Arabidopsis thaliana: one gene and its partners. The protein of the gene in region 2 interacts with the protein of the main gene of each other region in a pairwise test. Each region holds a gene or a part of one and is shown on either strand. Other genes may lie near its edges. The genes, in order: AT5G61240, AT4G11860 and SVL1.

What was found.
Region 1: the proteins of AT4G11860 (region 2) and AT5G61240 interact in a protein complementation assay, tested with the Arabidopsis thaliana proteins (one large-scale study listed by BioGRID).
Region 3: the proteins of AT4G11860 (region 2) and SVL1 interact in a protein complementation assay, tested with the Arabidopsis thaliana proteins (one large-scale study listed by BioGRID).

What each region holds. Positions count from the first base shown.
Region 1 is NC_003076.8:24,627,304-24,632,810, reverse strand, and holds AT5G61240 (Leucine-rich repeat (LRR) family protein), read right to left. Parts: upstream 3,556-5,507; 5' UTR 3,327-3,555; coding exon 3,242-3,326; intron 2,896-3,241; coding exon 2,748-2,895; intron 2,672-2,747; coding exon 2,600-2,671; intron 2,427-2,599; coding exon 2,351-2,426; intron 2,264-2,350; coding exon 2,229-2,263; intron 2,143-2,228; coding exon 2,071-2,142; intron 1,974-2,070; coding exon 1,830-1,973; intron 1,734-1,829; coding exon 1,653-1,733; intron 1,555-1,652; coding exon 1,483-1,554; intron 1,404-1,482; coding exon 1,332-1,403; intron 1,227-1,331; coding exon 1,155-1,226; intron 944-1,154; coding exon 853-943; 3' UTR 609-852; downstream 1-608. Other genes in the region: GUS1 (glucuronidase 1), read left to right, coding at 1-51, 134-517; ANK6 (Ankyrin repeat family protein), read right to left, coding at 4,033-4,557.
Region 2 is NC_003075.7:7,133,395-7,140,391, reverse strand, and holds AT4G11860 (FAM63A-like protein (DUF544)), read left to right. Parts: upstream 1-1,881; 5' UTR 1,882-2,030; coding exon 2,031-2,229; intron 2,230-2,580; coding exon 2,581-2,699; intron 2,700-2,788; coding exon 2,789-2,895; intron 2,896-2,976; coding exon 2,977-3,064; intron 3,065-3,402; coding exon 3,403-4,108; intron 4,109-4,263; coding exon 4,264-4,494; intron 4,495-4,655; coding exon 4,656-4,710; intron 4,711-4,799; coding exon 4,800-4,881; intron 4,882-4,967; coding exon 4,968-5,048; intron 5,049-5,181; coding exon 5,182-5,295; intron 5,296-5,389; coding exon 5,390-5,439; intron 5,440-5,573; coding exon 5,574-5,694; intron 5,695-6,059; coding exon 6,060-6,155; 3' UTR 6,156-6,496; downstream 6,497-6,997.
Region 3 is NC_003076.8:22,472,479-22,478,723, forward strand, and holds SVL1 (SHV3-like 1), read left to right. Parts: upstream 1-1,663; 5' UTR 1,664-1,798; coding exon 1,799-1,937; intron 1,938-2,136; coding exon 2,137-2,430; intron 2,431-2,656; coding exon 2,657-2,772; intron 2,773-2,858; coding exon 2,859-3,357; intron 3,358-3,461; coding exon 3,462-3,500; intron 3,501-3,606; coding exon 3,607-3,891; intron 3,892-4,216; coding exon 4,217-4,362; intron 4,363-4,465; coding exon 4,466-4,952; intron 4,953-5,045; coding exon 5,046-5,341; 3' UTR 5,342-5,738; downstream 5,739-6,245. Other genes in the region: NHX3 (Na+/H+ (sodium hydrogen) exchanger 3), read right to left, coding at 1-107.

The DNA of each region.
Region 1 (5,507 bases), on a different chromosome or scaffold from region 2:
ACGACTGCCTCGGAGTATCTACGAGCTTACGTTCATTGCTCCAAAAGAAGAGTGAGTGTATATATATCTCTATCTTTCTGTCGCTAAACTATCCTCTAGTTTCGGTTTGTAACTGCGAAATCTATCATCTTAGGCGGGTATAACGATTCTTCTGATCAATCTGAGTAAGCACACGACGTTTACAGTCGCAGTCAGCAATGGCGTGAAGGTGGTTTTGCAAGCAGAATCGATGAAGAGGAAATCGTTCTTGGAAACAATCAAGAGCAAGGTTTCTTGGGTTGGAAACAAAGCTTCGGACGGATATTTGAACAGAGAAGAGTATCACTTGAGTCCCAAAGACGGTGACTTGCGTAGCAAGATAATGCTCTTGAATGGTAAACCTTTGGTACCGACAGCCACCGGAGATATCCCAAAGCTTGAGCCGGTCCGTCATGGTGTGAAATCTCCGGTTTATATCAATCCGCTGTCGATCTCTTTCATTGTGTTGCCTACCTTTGATGCTCCTGCTTGTTCTTGAAGAGGATGGTAACTGGTGAAAATCAAACATTGAAGAACTACTGTAAATTTCTTGGCAATTGTATATATGATCGATGTAACACATACTATTGTATACTGGAAGTGGTTTATTCCAATCTAAATATATATAATCATTTGATTAAGGAGAAATATAGATTAGTGGAATGTGTCTAACTATACAATATGAAGATAAAAACTTGTAGTCTTATGCTTTCTTTCATTTGCAAATCCACAGACCATACAAAAAATAATAATAGTGAAGAGGGCTAAAGTGGAACAATCTCTAGGTGGTTCTGAGACGTTTTCTCGAGAACCTTCCTGGAATCTTCTATCCGGTCACACGGCAAAATCGGCATCAGAAACTTCTAAAACTTTGTGGGTACCAATTGGGTTCACGCCTGACTTGAACATGTTGCCTTCAATGTACCTGCAAAATAGAAACAGAACTCCTTATCGTCAGAGTGGAGAATGAAGAAAGAAAACATTCAACTTTTCTGAAAAACCAGTCATCATAAACTCATCCAGATGGATTTCACACAAAACAGTTCACATTGTTCAAATTCTTATACTCGATGGGTTTGCTATTTTGTCTGAGTCAAAGCTTTGATGAACTCTTCAAAAATTGGGTGAGAACTCACATTTCTTTGAGGAATGGATGCTTGTAGAATGCGTCTGGGATTCTCCCGGTAAATTGGTTGTGATCAAGGTACCTGGTTTCATCAACATCATGATCCCATTAGAATGCATATTTTCTTTTAGATAGTAAGCAAATCAAAGACAAAGAGAAAGATCAGCGATCTAGCACAAAGACTTACAGGTATGTCAGTTTAGGAATATGAGCAATGGCAAAAGGAATGTTTCCAATAAATTTGTTGTAAGACAGGTAACTGCAAAACCAATCAAACAGACATCAGAGATCTAGTGATATAGTTTATTGCAGAGAGATGGAGAGTGTAGACTGCTTACACAATCTCTAAGTTTGTAAGATTTGACAGCTGAGCAGGAATCCCTCCACTCAAATAGTTATTATTCAAGTACCTAATGAATCGAGATTTTAAAAAGAGAAAACGTAGTACATAAAAGAATATATCAAACGGAAGAGAGAAGCAAATGGAAATTTCTGAAGGGATGCTTACAAGTTGCGAAGAGCTGGGAAACTTCCATCAAAACGGATGAGCTCCCGTATAGTTCCCACCAAATGGTTGTTACCAACATCTCTGAAAAATAATGGGACACAAACCAAACATGATCTCAGTAAATAAATCATTGGAGGGTACCCAAACTATATGTAGAAAACGGCATTTGGTGTTTACAGGTGGCGAAGGTTTTGCAGAGTCCCCAGTTCGGCAGGAATTCTACCAATGAGACGGTTTTCTTGAAGGTATAGATACCGAAGCTCGGGAAGAGCAGCTAGTTCCTTGGGAATTTCTCCCTTGAAGCTATTGAAGCTCAAGTACCTTAAACATAAAAAGAAAAGAAGAAAAAATATCATGATTTCATGTGGATAAAAATGGACGATCATCAGAAGGTAAAAAGAAACATTAAGGTACTCACAAATGGGTTAGTCTCTTCAGCTCCCCAATCTCGGGAGGGATCACATCTTGTAGTTTATTCCACCTCAGGTTTCTAGTGATAACAACAGAGTAAATGTTTAGGTGAAGTATTTGGAAACTTGACATGTTATGATGGCACAAATAACAGACTTCTGTCACGTAAGTGCTAAGTTCACTCTGAAGAGAATTGGATCCTGAGTTTGGTCTCAGAACAACTTATTGAGACAAACTTTGAAAGGAAGTAAATCAATGATTCATATCGTTGTGAGAGCACAAGGAACATACAGTACTTTCAGCCGTTTCAGTCGTCCAATTTGTGGAGGGATTGGACCAGTCAACTTGTTGTTATGTAGATCCCTGAAATATCAAAGAAACCAATACCAGTTTCAATTTAACCATCTTAAAACAGCATAACTCTAAAGAATTATTGGGGATCTCGTTTCACAAACTAGGTTGGAAATATCTGTTCAAAGAGTTCTTGCATCAATCTACCTAATGTCACAAATAAAAAGGTTTAGAAAGTAACTTACAGTCTAGTCAAATCCAGAAGGTTTGTTACTGCAATGGGGAAAGGTCCAACAATCGAAACCGCATAAACTTCTCTGCAAATCAAATTCAGTGAAGCAAATCAGGTTGCTACAAAAGAAAACACTAAAGTGAGAAGAAACCAGAACTTACAATTCTGTGACAACTCTATAGTCTCCTTGTGTAGAACACGTGACACCAGACCAAGGTGGAAGGTCTCCATCTCCACAAGGATCGTCACCAACCCATGAATACACCACTCTCCATCCCAAAGAGGCTTTGATTTCATTCAAAGCTTTCACTGTCCACAAGAGATTAACTTTGAGGAAAGCTGATTATAAAAGATACAGTAGTAACCAACTACCATGATGCAGAGATATAACAAACTTCTTGAGACCAATAGTATCAGATCCAATCATTGTTCACACATAATTAATATTTCTCAATTTGAGCTCAGCTCAGCTCAGATTAGAAATAGATGAAAGAAAAAGGATCGAACTTGCGTGCTAAATCATGGAAATTGATAAGAGATAGAACGAATCTGGATAATGGGTATCTACCAAATCTGTTAAAGAGCTATACAAATTCAATCAATGGAGGATCGATCATAAACACAAAACCAGAGGGTGATTAAAGTAAAAACTTACCATCTCGCTTCAATGTCTTGGAGTGAGCAAAAGCAATTAAGAGAGAGAAGACGCAGATCAGAAGTAGCTCACAGCGAGAAGCCATGGTTTTTGCTTAAACAGCCAAAGTGAGAAAGAGAACAAACGGGATCTAAGAAGAGAGCGAAATTAAAAAACTCATTTTTATTTTCTCTTCCTCCTCCTGAGATTCGTAAACCGAATACCGTGTATTTCAAACCCGCTATCTCACCGACGGGTCTGGTAATGATCCGGATGTTTTCTTTTTGGTTAATGGGTATCGACCAAATCATTCATTGAAGAGATAGAACCAATCTTGTTAATGGGTATCGACCAAATAATTGTCATTTGTGTAAAATTATTGCATTCCTTACCTTAATTAGTTAAACATGTCCTAAGACACAAATGACAATGATTAGAAACATATGGTGCTAACTCAATTAAGAGCAAAACTTTGCTTCATCCTCGCAATCTAGCTATATACATATCCATGTCAATTATGTTAAATCACACTATGTCAATTACCTGCATTAATTTTTAGACTTAATGATTCATAAGAGACCAAAACCGATTATCTCATATTTTTGGTTGATCCAGAACCGGTTAAACAAATCAAATTCGGCTAGGATATCAAACTGGAGTTGCAAAATAACACACTGAAGATTACATGAATGTATCCGCAGTTTCAATGTTTCACATAGCCCATAAGATCAAACACCAACCATAATAGTTCTGATAAGTAGTCTCAACTAGAAAACAAAACAAAACACACCGAGAAACAACCAAGAAGAAGTTCAGTTGTCAGAACTGGAAGATGTGTCTCCACCAGATGAAGAAGAAGACTCGCTGTTAAGCTTCTTCATTTCCTCGTACGCCCATTCAAGGCCGTGACAGTAATGCACCGGCGGATTAAACCTGGTATCAGTTATATCATCTGCCAAGAATGCGCCGTTCTCCACCAGAAACTTCACTGCTTCTCTCTTCCGCTCTTTGGCTGCAGCGTGGAGAGGAGTCCACCCGCATGAGCCCCATGTTTTAGCATCAATGTTGGCCCCACGTTCTAGGAGTAAATCCATGACTTCAATGTGACCTCCCTCTGCTGCAAGGTGAAGTGCACTCACTCCTTTTGATTTGGGTCCCCATGCTAGAGCATTCACATCCATTCCTTGGTCGAGAAGCTGCTTGACAGATTTCAGATCGCCTTTTCTGGCTTTGATATGGAGCGGATTCCAGCCTCTGTCATCGACATTTGATCTGGGAGATCGGCGTCTGAATGAGTTACGCCGGAGGGAGAATGCAGCCGACGGTTCTTGGAGCATTTTGGGTCTGAGCTTCAGCTAAACAAGAACTAGCTTCGAAACTAGGATCCGGATCTGTGTAGGACTACGAGACTCGGGTAGATACTAACCAAACAGGGGTTTCTTATTCTATGCTTTTAGTGTAAATCTCTCAGCCAAGAATGTCTAAAGAAGATACTACTTGATTTGCAACACTATCCAGACTAGACAGCAAAGGAAGCAGACTAATGTAATTAAGTTGAAAGAGAGCAACTCAATTAACGGGAGGCAAAGGAGTGATTGGCGATGCAGTAAGGGAAAGAAGGATTCAAACCAGGGCCGAAGACACTAAGCTTTTGAAGGATCACAGATAAAGCCATAGACAGGGAAGAGAAAATGAGCATCAGTTTGTAAGAAATATAACCCTAATGATTGTGAAGAATCCTAACGGAGCACGACCACATCGAGACTGAGAAACCCCCAAATTTCAGCCTTAGAGAACACTGACCTTACCAAACCTATCAACAAAAGATGGAGAAGAAAACCAAATTAGTGAAAACCAGATGAACACAACAAAAATGCTATAAATTTCTCTGTAATATAAATAACACAACAATCCAGCTCGTGTAGAGTTTCAAAAGTTCATTCAGAATCCAATTACGACACTTGTAGTCTCTAATATTGGCAAATCTACAAACAATACAATAGAATCAGAAAAAATACCCTCACAGAGACAAAATCAATCGAATCAAGGGGGAACTAACGAGTACAAATTTTAATCATCGATCACCAATCAAGTCAGCTACAAATTACACATGAATCAGAACAAATCACAGAAAAACATTGACGAAATAAGAATCCAACGATGAATCCGAAACGAAAAAGAGAAAAATCAATCTCGACACGCAAGGATTTTCACACATACTTATGAACACAAGGAATCGAAAAGTTTGAGAGGCTCGTACCGTAACCCAGCGAGGAGATAGAGATAG
Region 2 (6,997 bases):
GGTGGTGGTGGTGATAATTATTGTGGGGGTGAGGACAAACTTGTAATATTATATATTACATAATTATTATAGTGTAAGTTTTTTGCAATAGATTAGTTTCTTAATTAATAAGTTTTTTTTAGGTTATACATGCAAATTTCGCTTATAAAAATAAAATGATCAAAAAGAAAAGAAAAGAATGAATTAGATATAATGAATACTGAGAACAAACGAAGATATATGAACAAAAAAGTTAAAAATGTTAAGTTTTATGGTTTCTAATTCGAAACTAGTTAACAATGAATAAAGAGATTTATATTTTTTATACACTAGTCAAGTCTATTCTATATTTTTAATGTGGAATTTTTTCTATACGCTTCTTGGAAATAATGTTTTTCTAGTTATTTCGACAGAATTTAGTTTTTTTTTGAACTATTAATTAGTAAAGATGACCAGACCACTTTCCGGACTGGATTAGTGAATCATGTGTTTTTGGACTCTGATACCATGTTAAGTTTTATTGGTTTTTAACTCAAAATTAATTGACAATAAATGGAAAGGTCTATATCTCTTATATACAACTCAAATCTATTAGATTGTGCGGTTTCAACTCAAAACTAATTGACAATAAGTGGAAAAACTCATAACTTATATATATACCACTTAAAATTATACTCAACTTCTAATGTGGAACAATATTCCTAATATGCCTCATTGAGATCGATGGTTTTTCTAGCCATTGATCACGATATATTTGGTATAGATCGATGGACCAACTACTAAACCGGACCGATGTGTATTGGGTTGAATATCGGCTGACTCAAAATGATGCAAAAGCCATATGCCTCGAAGTTTTATAATTGGATTTCATCATCTATACGCGTGATAGTATAACAATTAGGTTTCAAATGGCCTGTTGGGCTTTTAACTATTCAATTACAGCCCATATATATAGTCAACATTAAAAATACCAACACATTGTCATTGACATGTTTGTACAAGCGTGGTCAAACAGAAATGATGTTATTCTGCTGCTTCATCAATTTATCTCCCTTGTGAATTGAGATTGATGGTTATAATGTTATGTTACTAACATCTTAATATATAAAGTTTGGTTTCTCAAAATTAGTCATTAATGTGATAATTTATAAAACATAATTTCTACAGTATTTTCATGTTTTTAATAAAAATACATGCTTATATATTGAAGTGAAATAATTACTAAACGGAAAACAATTAAAGTGAAAAAACACACCATTGTTTAGACGCAGGCCACACTTTTATTTTGGTTCTGTTTTTCGATTTAAACCTCAAACCTCATAATTCTTTAAACATTCAAATTGTCCCACCGTTTTTATAGATTCCTTCTAGATCGTCAAACACTTATATTCTTCCTTTTCTTTTTGTCAACACATTCTGACATTCATATAACTTTTCGTGTAAAACTATAATATAAATAAATGTGATAAATACACTTCTAATTCTTTCGTAAATGATATATCAAGAAATTTCCCAAAATTTTTTAAAATGTTACGTGTTATAAAGAAATTAATTAGGAATAAAAAAACTATTAAAAGATGACTTTTAAGGAAATGAAATGACGGTGTTATGATAAGAAATGAAGAATTTTATCATTTAAATTGACCTTTCCCCGAGAAGATACGCACTAAAGATACCCAATTGGTTTATCAAAACCGTAATAATCGAACCATAATTCTTCTCATACATCAAATACCGGAATAAATTTGAAAAATTGGTCGTTACTATATTTGGTTCAATAGCAATTTAAACAATACCGGAATTTCGATTTGGTACGTACCGGTTTGGTTATGTGACACATTTCAATATCAACCTTCCCATAAAAGTTCTTTCTCGTAATATAAATTAAATCCTCTTTGCTCTCTCGCTCGCTTCCTCTTTTCGATTTGGATCAGAAAAAATAAAATTTCTTCGGAATTTCCAATAATCTGTCTCTCTTCTTCTTCGATCGAAAATTTGACTTTTTTTCGAATTTGTTTTTTCATTAGCTTTGGTTGATATCATCATCGTCAATGGCGACCGCTTCATCTTCAGAATCTCCGAGCGAAGAAACGCAGACGAATCAAGAAGCGATGCAGCAGCAAGATTTACCGAAGGAAACTACTACGGAGGAGGAGATTTTGTATAAGACGAAATCGATTCAGTTCCTTGGAAGAACCACACCTATCATTCTCCAGAACGAAAATGGACCTTGTCCTTTGTTAGCCATTTGTATGTTTCTATTTTCTCCTTTTTCGTCCTCATAAAACTTCATTCAGATCGTAAAAATAGGGTTTGGAAAGTGGAATTTCGGTGTTATGATCATTGATTCTTTAGGTTTGCGTTACTGATTTTGTGGAATTTGTAAAAGAAATTGAAGAATCGGTGTTAGGTTTGCTTGTTCCGTACAATGTAATGAATCATTGATTTGATGGTTAGTGTACCGAACATCAGATTTTGTTGTTAGCTTGAGCTTCTCGTAGAAATGACAAGTGTGAGAATTTGGTATTTAGTGTGCTTAATAATACTTAGATCAATTAACACTTTGATTACTGATTGTTATTTGATTTTGGGATGAAACAGGTAATGTGCTTCTCTTGAGAAACAACTTGAATCTAAATCCTGACTGTTATGAGGTTTCTCAAGAGAGATTGATGTCCCTCGTGGTCGACAGACTCATTGATTCCAATAGTAAAGTCAATGTAAATAAGCTGGCTTCTTATCTTTGCCTGTTCTTTATATTATCTTGTGGCTTGAATCTATGTGAATCTTTTATTCTTCTCAATGGCAGAACAAAGATGAAGGATATATTGAGAATCAGCAACAGAACATTGCTGATGCAATTGATCTTCTTCCACGCCTTACTACTGGAATTGATGTCAATATTAAATTCAGGAGGTTAATACTTTGTCAGCTGTTTCTGCTTATAATAGGTAGAAATTCATAAGTTAATTATCATGAGTGTTTACCTGGTTGCAGGATTGATGATTTTGAGTTCACACCTGAATGTGCAATATTTGATTTACTTGACATTCCCTTATATCATGGATGGATAGTTGATCCTCAGGTATATCATTTTGTTTCATACTTTATCAGAATGGCTCTGTCTGCGCGTAAATAATTAAATTTCATTAGTATAGGCTGTTGACGTTTTTTAATTTCGTTCCTGTCTTTTGTGTGTGGATGTTTGGGATGTGGGGTCATCTTCTCTTCTTTATCTTCTTGAGAGTTGAGAAACAAAACATAGGTTACTTTATTCTTTTTATCCATTGTTTGGCTCGTTTTAAGATGGATTGGAACAGTGGTCAAGAGCACTCATTTTAAGATGGTGTCCTTATCAATCCTGGGCCTGTAGTAAAACTGTAAAAGTATTGATTCAATTGTTTCCCATGTGCATACCTACAGGATGTTGAAGCAGCTAATGCAATTGGTAGCAAATCGTATAATGCTCTTATGGGTGAGCTAGTTGCACTGGAGACACAGAATGTAGAGGCTCAAGGCGATCAAAATCCCGGAGAAGATTCTGTTGATTTTGCTGCGGCAACTACTGCAGTTTTAGGGGTTCCTTCACCTTGTCTTTCGAAAACAAGATCTTTTGATGATTCTCCACCTGCGGCTGCAGAGCTTCGTAGAATGAGAAAGGGGGATCTTGAAGAAGAAACAGAGTTGTTGCAAGCCTTGCAGTTATCACAGGGGCAGGGGAATGATCCAACTCCAAACACTAACGGAGACTCAACCAATCAAGATTCTGCGTTCACATTTTCAGATGCGAGTCCAACTAGCACCCATATTACTAATATCAGTCAGCTAGACCAGTTCAAAACTGATGATGATAAAGCATCAGAAAATGATGGGAATATGATCAAAGTTGGGAAATTTCCGACAACGATTACAACTAAAAGTGAGGATCTTAACCATGATCAATTATCTTCTAAGCAATCTGGAGGTGAAACGGCTTGTGATGTTGAGAACGTGAGTAGCAGCAAAGAGGCCATTGTCGATGTAACTTCTTCTGAGGCACTCTCTGTGGATAAGGGTAATCTGGAGTCAGCGAAAAGTGAAAGCAGTTCTGAGAGTGTACTCAAGTCTGATGCAGCTTCTATTGATCCAGGTAGTTTTTTTGACTCTTCCTTAGTTGGTGTAACCTTATAGATGTCTCTATACATAAGTATAGTACTCCTCCATCTTAATCATTTTACTGGCTAAAATTGCATCTGAAGATATTAGATAGGAAAATTCTTACTCAGATACCCATTGCATCTCCAGATTTGAGTTGCAGATCCCAGCATGATGATGCACCCAACGCTTTTATCCCACCTGTATCTACCGATGAACCTATGTACGAAGGTGAGGAATGTGTAAACACAGTGCCTCCAGTTTGTGCAGACAAAGAACCCGTTTATGAAGGTGAGTCACTTCTTGGTAAAAGGGTTGAGAAGGATGTTGGTGATTGTTCTTCTGAAGGGAGGGCTACGGATGGGCTCACAGCAGAAGAAGGTAAATTATACTGTGTCTGATCTACTTGTGATACACTTGAAATACATTTTCGGAAACTCATACATGCATGCCATTGTGGTTAGAGCTGCTCTCTTTGCTCTAGTTCACATTTTTCCATATATTCTTGCAATTATTAAATAGTTGTTCTTGAGTTTTTCCAGGTGAACTAATCAGGAACTTTATGAAGAATAGTGCAAGTCAATTAACCTTTTGTGGGTGCGTGATCTTATTCATAGTTAGGAAGTTATATTTTAAATTGACTGCTCATGTATTATCTTACATTGATTATTGATCATATCTTACAGACTCTTTCGCTTGCAAGAAGGCCTCAAAGAACGTGAACTCTGTGTTTTTTTCCGGAACAATCATTTCTGCACCATGTTCAAGGTTTGTTTAGTTTGCGGTTATTTCCATCTTTGAATTGCAACAGGTTAATCCCAACTAAATTCTTCTTGTTGCTGTCATATTTTCAGTATGAAGGTGAACTTTATCTTTTGGCTACAGATCAAGGTTACCTGAATCAGCCTGATTTGGTTTGGGAAAAACTAAACGAGGTATCAGCAAAAGTTACTTACTCACCATTTGTCTTATCTGCTAATTTTGGCTTCTTAGGAGATATCTCTATATCCACAATCTCTTTAGAGCTATGGCTGTTGTGACCACTATTGACATGCAATCTGGTTTCAGGTTAATGGTGACACTGCATTCATGACTGCTACCTTCAAGGACTTCACGATCGACAGCAGCACAGGTGGTGCAAGTGGCACATGGGATGAACGAAACGCAGTCACAAATACTGCTGTATGTTCTCCTCATAATATAGTCACTAATCCACATTAGATCTCCTTCTTTTACCTTTTTAATCATTTTTTTTCTTTTGGTTCTCCCTACACAGGATTATCTTGCCAGCATCAACAATGTAGCGGATGCAGGCATAGATGTCAAGTAAATATTTCATACCTTTCTTTGACCACTAACCCATTGGTTCTCACCAGAGACACATTTATGCATTTGTTATAACTGTCCTCTTAAAAACATATTTATGATTGTTTAATTTTAATTCCCATGGTACTATGCAGTTCTGATCTGCAACTAGCAATAGCTTTGCAACAACAAGAGTTTGAGGACCAGAGCCCACGTAGTAACCCAACTCCACAACCAACTAGCGTTGCTGCCTCACGATTGGTCACTGGTCCACAGGTATTTCATTCCTACTCATAACACTATATTCTTAAAAAGCAGGAATCGACACAAATGGTTAACAATGATTATAAGAAAAGGTAAATTACCGTGTGACCTGCACATTGCAACAATATACAACACTGATTATTAAAATAGTAAGAGAGTATAGCCTTAACAAGCACATCTGCAAGTCCTGTTTAGTACATTTGTTTTCTGTCCATATACTTTACCGACTAAGATGAGTTTACAAGTACCAATTGCGAGTGTAAAACATCGATAATGATCATACACCGTAATCAGAAGCTCATTGAATATAATGCAGCCTTGCTTCTTGTGGTGTTTGGATGAATGTTAATGATCAGATATTGTACTGACCATTGCAGGTACCAAGGAGCAGCCACAGGCCATCATCAGCTGCGTCTTCGAGACACGACGGCAAATCCCCTAAAGATAAAGATAGCAAATGTAGAATCATGTAAATCCTCATTTCACTTATGTAAATTTCCAACTTTTTCTTATTCCCTAACTAATTTTAATCCTTAAAAGCTTTTTGGTTTTAACAAAAAATAAACTGTAATTGCGCTTTGACTAAACTATTTTTTGTTGCTCATAAAAAATCAGAGCTTTTCTTTATCCTTTTGAGAAGTGGGAGACGAATTAGAGTTTGTGTTCACGTTTTGGCTTTCGTTCTGTTAAGTTACTCTGATCGCCGTTACTTTTTTGACGGAGTAACGGCTATTGTCCGTGATGCCTTTTATAATAATTCTGCTTAGCCGGCTCGGTTTGACTAATCGCCAACTTTTTCAAGTTGTAATCGGAGAATGTGATTATTAATCCCTAATTAAAATACTTTTTATCTGCATTAGCTAATCATTTTGACTAGTTATAAACTTAAAATAATAAATAAATTATATCCTAATCCCTCAATTCGAATTTCAAACTAGTTTGTATTTCTTTACAAGTTCAACTTTTTTCTTTTCACTATAAGATAATGATGTGCTAAGACCACGACTGATAGATAATATGAATCCACTAGAGCTGTTGAAAATTATAGTTCAAAATTGAGGAAGACTTCAACAATGAAAATGTCTTCTCCATTGAAGAAAATGTCTTGATTTATTATTCAATACGCAATTATATGGTTTAATTTAGTGATTTTTCGAATGTTTACTTCTTGTTGATAATAAATATTAAATAGTAATATGATTTCATTTCAAGAAAATGTCATGCTTAATTATTACTTACACTATTAAGTCGAATGTTTAATTTCTAGTTGATATATAAAAATAGTAACATCACCACTCAAATGAAGTTGCATCAA
Region 3 (6,245 bases), on a different chromosome or scaffold from region 2:
ATAACTAAACATAGACAGAGAATGGCGATGAACACTGAGATTGGTATCACCTGAGGATGCTCAGCTGCTAGTTTATTCGTCACAAACTCTGTTAATCCGATACTCATTTTTCACTCGATAATGTTTTCGATTTCGTCGATTTTGAAAACACCAATCGCAAACGAAGAAGGCACACAGAGAACGATAGAGAGAGAGACGAGGAAAGAGTCAGAGAGTGAGGAGAGATTTGAACTGCGATGAACAAGGCGGTGGTTACAGGTGGCGAGGAGACGAAAGACACGTGGCATGTTTCCAACGTCATCAGACTGAGTAAACGTGAGGCTTTTTGGAATTGTACTGCATCTTGGGCCTTTTTAGGGCCCAAAACTAACTCATCATGTATTTTTTTCTTACCGGATTTGGGGATTTTTTTCTTTTTTCTTTTTTGGGTCTAACTAACTCGCGTAAATTGTTGTTCTTTTTCCTTAATTTATTTTTACCTCTTGTTCTTTATTCTGTTTATATAAAATTATGAAACTTGAAAACTCAATATTTATTACAACGAATTATTTGGTGAAGACTCGAACCAATCGAAATAAAACACTCTACTGAGTAACGGTCCCGGTTGCAACAGCCAAGACGCTAGAACGTGATCGTTTCGTTTGGTCGTGTTTTGATGACGTAAAAAGTGACTCAGCGACCTATTTCACCACGTGTAATCTTTAACGACCATGTTCTAGGACCTACCTGACTTTTAATCGATCATCCACCACCGCCTTCTCAACATTTTTTAAGATACTAGTATCATTATAGCTATAATATAAATTAAGAAACTTGTAAATATTATAATTAACGTGAAAACATAGAATTCGGATATATAATGTGTATATTAGATAAATAATAAATCTGCTCATATGTGATATGTATATGCATATATCATATATGTAAATGTAGCCATTATTGGAATGCGTATTGGGTAATGGGTAGTATCACTAGAATGATACAATTTTTCTTATATACAGAGAAGAGAAGAGGAAACAAGAAAAACAAATACGTTCCCCGCAGTAGACTTTTTATTTGTTGGTACCGTAGAGGAAAACAGATATACACCAATTACTATAGGAGTGATTAAGGGAGAAATTGCAGGGATATAATTGATATCTAATAGCCGTTTCTACACTAATCCTAATTATAACAAGACCAATGATTGACACATGTATATTGCAATTGCATGCATTATATAGTTTATTATTATGCTTGCTTATAGTTTAGCTGGTTTTGGAAACAAGTAGGTAGTAATAAAGAAAAACAAAGAGAGAGTAGGTCGTAATAAATGAAGAACGCATAACTATAAAAAATAAATACACAAATATATGTAAAACAATTGTTTGGTTTCTCTAGGTTGGAGACAACCAATCAAAAAATTATATTCTAATTTAAAATAAAACTTATTTAGTTATCCCATGAAAATTAAACTCTTGTATTCTCAAAAAAAAATTGAGTCAAAATTACACTCCCAATATTTTCTGTCTGCAATAAAGATATGGAGACACATTGAAAAACATTTTAGTTTATTTATGAAAAACCAAAAAAATAAAATTTTAGTTGATGTTTTCTTTTTAAAGTGGAAAAATGTGTCAAAAACAAAAAGTCGAAGTTCTTTTGTTTTCCCTTTTAAAATAATCAACGATCATATAAATTCGAATCCCACAAACCAAAAAGCTCTCTCTCTCTCTCTCTCTCTCTCTCTCTCTGAGTAAATCTCAGTTTTTGGTCGAAGTTGGTGAAGTCGCCGCCGGGACAACTCAGGTTGTTACAGATGATAAACATGCGAGATAATCCAACAATGCATGTCTTACAAGCTTCAAAGTTTCTATTTTTAGCTCTTATTTTGATCCAGTTGCTGTCTACTCAACTCTTTGCTCAAAGATCTAAAAGTCCATGGCAAACACTCACTGGTTAGTGTCTTCTATCTCCTTCTTCTCCTATTTATTCAATACCCTTCACTGTTAATCAATAAATCAGTAGAAAAGTTGCTTCCTTTTGAATCGTTTCATAGAAATCAAAGAGAAAAATTTGGGGGTTTTCTGAGTTTCATCCAAAGAAAAATCGAAGCTTTCTTATAGGTTTCATCGGATTTTGTTTCCATTTTTGTAGGAGATGCTCCCCTTGTCATTGCTCGTGGTGGGTTTTCTGGGTTGTTGCCAGATTCAAGTCTCGATGCTTACAGTTTTGTATCGCAGACTAGTGTTCCTGGTGCTGTTCTTTGGTGTGATGTGCAACTAACGAAAGATGCAATTGGACTTTGCTTCCCTGATGTGAAGATGATGAATGCTTCCAATATTCAAGATGTTTACCCTAAACGGAAAACTTCTTACTTGCTTAATGGAGTCCCTACTCAGGATTGGTTCACCATTGATTTCAACTTCAAGGATCTGACAAAAGTTATCTGTAAGTTCACGCGTCTTTTTGAGCTTTAGTATACATTCTAATTTATTGGACTAGTGGATACTAGTTGTAGAAAGATCTTATGTTAATTAGTTTATCTATGTTTTAGGGGTAATTTGTCTGTGACATTTGATCAAATTGAGTAAATTTTAGTATTGTTAGATTTGATTGCTGCTGTTCATTGAGGTGTAACTTGCTTGAATCTTCTTCATACAAATCATTCTCATAGTGAAACAAGGAATATTATCACGGTCAGCGGCATTCGATGGAAACAGTTACGGGATATCGACAGTTAAAGATATATCTACGCAGTTAAAACCTGAGGGTTTTTGGTTAAATGTTCAGGTAGCTCTTTTGTCAGTAAGTTTCTTGTTGTTTTCCATTTTTTGTTGCAGTGAAAGCTCACTCTAATACGGCTGTTCTTTATTCAGCACGACGCATTCTATGCTCAACATAATCTGAGCATGAGCAGCTTTCTGCTATCAATTTCCAAGACTGTGATTATTGACTATCTCTCTTCCCCTGAGGTGAATTTCTTTCGGAACATTGGTAGGCGTTTTGGACGCAATGGGCCAAAGTTTGTGTTCCGGTTTCTTGAAAAAGATGATGTTGAGGTGTCAACCAACCAAACCTATGGATCTCTTGCGGGAAACCTAACATTCCTCAAGACTTTTGCTTCAGGAGTTCTTGTTCCCAAGTCTTACATATGGCCAATCGAAAGCCAATACTTGCTTCCCCGTACATCTTTTGTTCAAGATGCTCACAAAGCAGGATTAGAAGTATATGCATCAGGTTTTGGAAACGATTTTGATCTTGCATACAACTACAGTTTTGATCCATTGGCCGAGTACTTATCTTTCATGGACAATGGAGATTTCTCCGTGGATGGCTTGCTTTCTGATTTCCCACTAACAGCATCTTCAGCTGTTGGTAAGTAAATCTCTTCTTCTGTATCACATATACTGCTATAGAAACTACAACTACACAAGTAAAACCATTTTTCACTTTTCCTTTAAACTTTTCTTGTTCCTCAGACTGCTTCTCCCATCTTGGAAGTAATGCTTCATCACAAGGTATTTGAGCTATTCATATGCGTTTTACTGGCCACATTATTGATGCCATGGCACAATAATAACTAACGGTAGATTTTTTTAATCTTCTGTTTGGTTCATGTCACAGTGGATTTTCTTGTTATATCCAAAAATGGAGCAAGTGGAGACTACCCTGGCTGTACTGACTTGGCCTATACAAAGGCTATCAAAGATGGTGCTGATGTTATCGATTGTTCTCTTCAAATGTCATCAGACGGGATTCCGTTTTGCTTAAGTTCAATAAATCTTGGGGAGAGCACGAACGTTGTCCAAAGTCCTTTCAGAAACCGTTCTACAACTGTTCCTGAGATCGGCTCACTTCCTGGAATATACAGCTTTAGTCTGGCATGGTCTGAGATTCAGACCTTGAGACGTAAGTTTTACCCATATTCTCTTAAAACTGTCTTCTCCGTATGGCATTCTTACTCTAGGCAGTGTGTTGTGCTGGTAGATCCTTGTTCTTACGATAACTGAGTTAGCTGCACGATGGTTCTTTCACGGTGTCCACGGCAAATACTAATTCTAGTTATTTAGAGGCTACCAATAGATGCAAAATATCGTTCTGTTGCAACTTTATCTGTCCCTTGATAATGAAAAAGTAATCTTTCTGTTGATGTAATCCATCTCAAAACCGGTTTTTATCTGTTTTAAGTGTCATTGATTATGTTTCCCCCCCCCCCCCCCCCATCTTTTTGCAGCTGCTATTGAAAACCCCTACAGCAGGGAATTCACTATGTTTAGGAATCCAAGGGAGAGAAGTTCCGGGAAGTTTGTTTCACTTTCTGATTTCTTGAACTTGGCAAAAAACTCCAGCTCTCTCACCGGTGTTTTGATCAGCGTGGAGGTGAGTTGTATAATCACTTTTAGACTTTTATCGGTCATTAGAATAAAAGTGATCTTCGTCATTTCTTTTGATGGTTAAAACGAGTATGATTTGTTTCCTTCAGAATGCAACATATCTGAGAGAGAAGCAAGGGCTCGATGCTGTTAAGGCAGTTCTCGATACACTCACAGAAGCTGGTTACAGCAACAAGACAACAACCACAAGGGTTATGATTCAGTCAACTAACAGCTCAGTCTTAATTGACTTCAAGAAACAGAGCCGGTATGAGACAGTGTACAAAGTCGAAGAAACCATCCGCGACATTCTCGACACTGCAATCGAAGACATTAAGAAATTTGCGGATGCTGTTGTCATTAGTAAAAAATCAGTCTTCCCCACCAGCGAAAGTTTCACCACTGGACAAACTAAACTAGTGGAGAGGCTGCAGAAGTTTCAGCTCCCCGTTTACGTTGAAGTGTTCCGAAATGAGTTTGTTTCTCAACCATGGGATTTCTTCGCTGATGCAACTGTCGAGATAAACTCGCATGTTACTGGAGCTGGTATCAATGGAACCATCACTGAGTTCCCTCTCACAGCCGCGAGATACAAAAGTAAAGTGAAAACCAAAAGAATGTCTTTAAAGCTTTTCTGTTTTCATAACATTTTAGAGTTTTTGACTGTTTTTTTTTGTTGTTCCTTCTCAGGGAACTCGTGCTTGACCCGCAAAGACGTGCCTCCTTACATGATCCCAGTTCAGCCCGCTGGCCTCTTAACCATCGTGAGTCCTGCTTCGTTACCTCCAGCCGAAGCACCAAGCCCAGTTTTCACAGATGCTGATGTCACTGAACCACCATTACCTCCAGTCTCAGCCAGAGCCCCAACCACCACCCCTGGACCTCAATCAACAGGTGAAAAGTCTCCCAACGGACAAACCCGAGTCGCTCTATCTCTTCTTCTCTCTGCATTCGCTACGGTTTTCGCCTCTCTTCTACTTCTGTGATCACATTGATCCGATCACCCGCGCCTGTAGGATTTCATTGTGAGATTGATCGAGTCCTCAGGGAATTTTTTTTCCTTCTAACAGTTCTTGGGATTCTTTGCAGTGATGAGTTTCTTGTCTGTTCATATTATTCGTTGTCTTTTGTAGAATTTCTGGCCAAAGAGGTAAAATTCTTGGACGTAAATTTGTATCATTGTTGTAACATTATTCACTGTAATGTTCTATTTAAACTCTTGTCTTGTGTGTACGTACTTGTAACATTATGATTGTTCTTTGAATATTGTTGTCTAATCGTAAAGATTGGGCTTTTAATACAGGCTACTTATGGATCCAAATTAACTAAAATGGGCTTTAGTTTAAAGCCCAAGTACGTGATAATTCAACAAACTTGACAACTTTCTCGAGATGATTCAGATCTGTCGATGAAGCTCTTGTCTGGACTGGGTTTAACAACGAAGACAGAGATCTTGTGGGGATGTTTCTTCGTGATCATTGGTTCTGTTTCCTTCTTCGGATTCGTCATTGCAGTCGTGTCGTCGAATGATAGGCACTATTGCTTCTTGATTCCATTGACTCTACCAGTTATAATGGTTGCTGTCTACTTTCATTGGCTTAGCATGAAGCTCTTCAAGCATGCTTGATATATCCATCGATCACCATTTTAAGGATCTATTGTGAGTTTCAATTTCACTCTCTCTTGACAATTCATTACTGTACGTAACAGAAAAGCTATGGATGTGGATTTCTTGATTAAATTGAGACAACTTTGTTATCAAAGTAGATTTGTTTAACTTTAGTGATTACTGCAAAATTATGTAGATGAAGAGCTTGTATTACACGTAGTGACTTGTTACTCTCAATTAAATCTTCCAAAGCATATGGTTACATTATTGCAAAAACTATA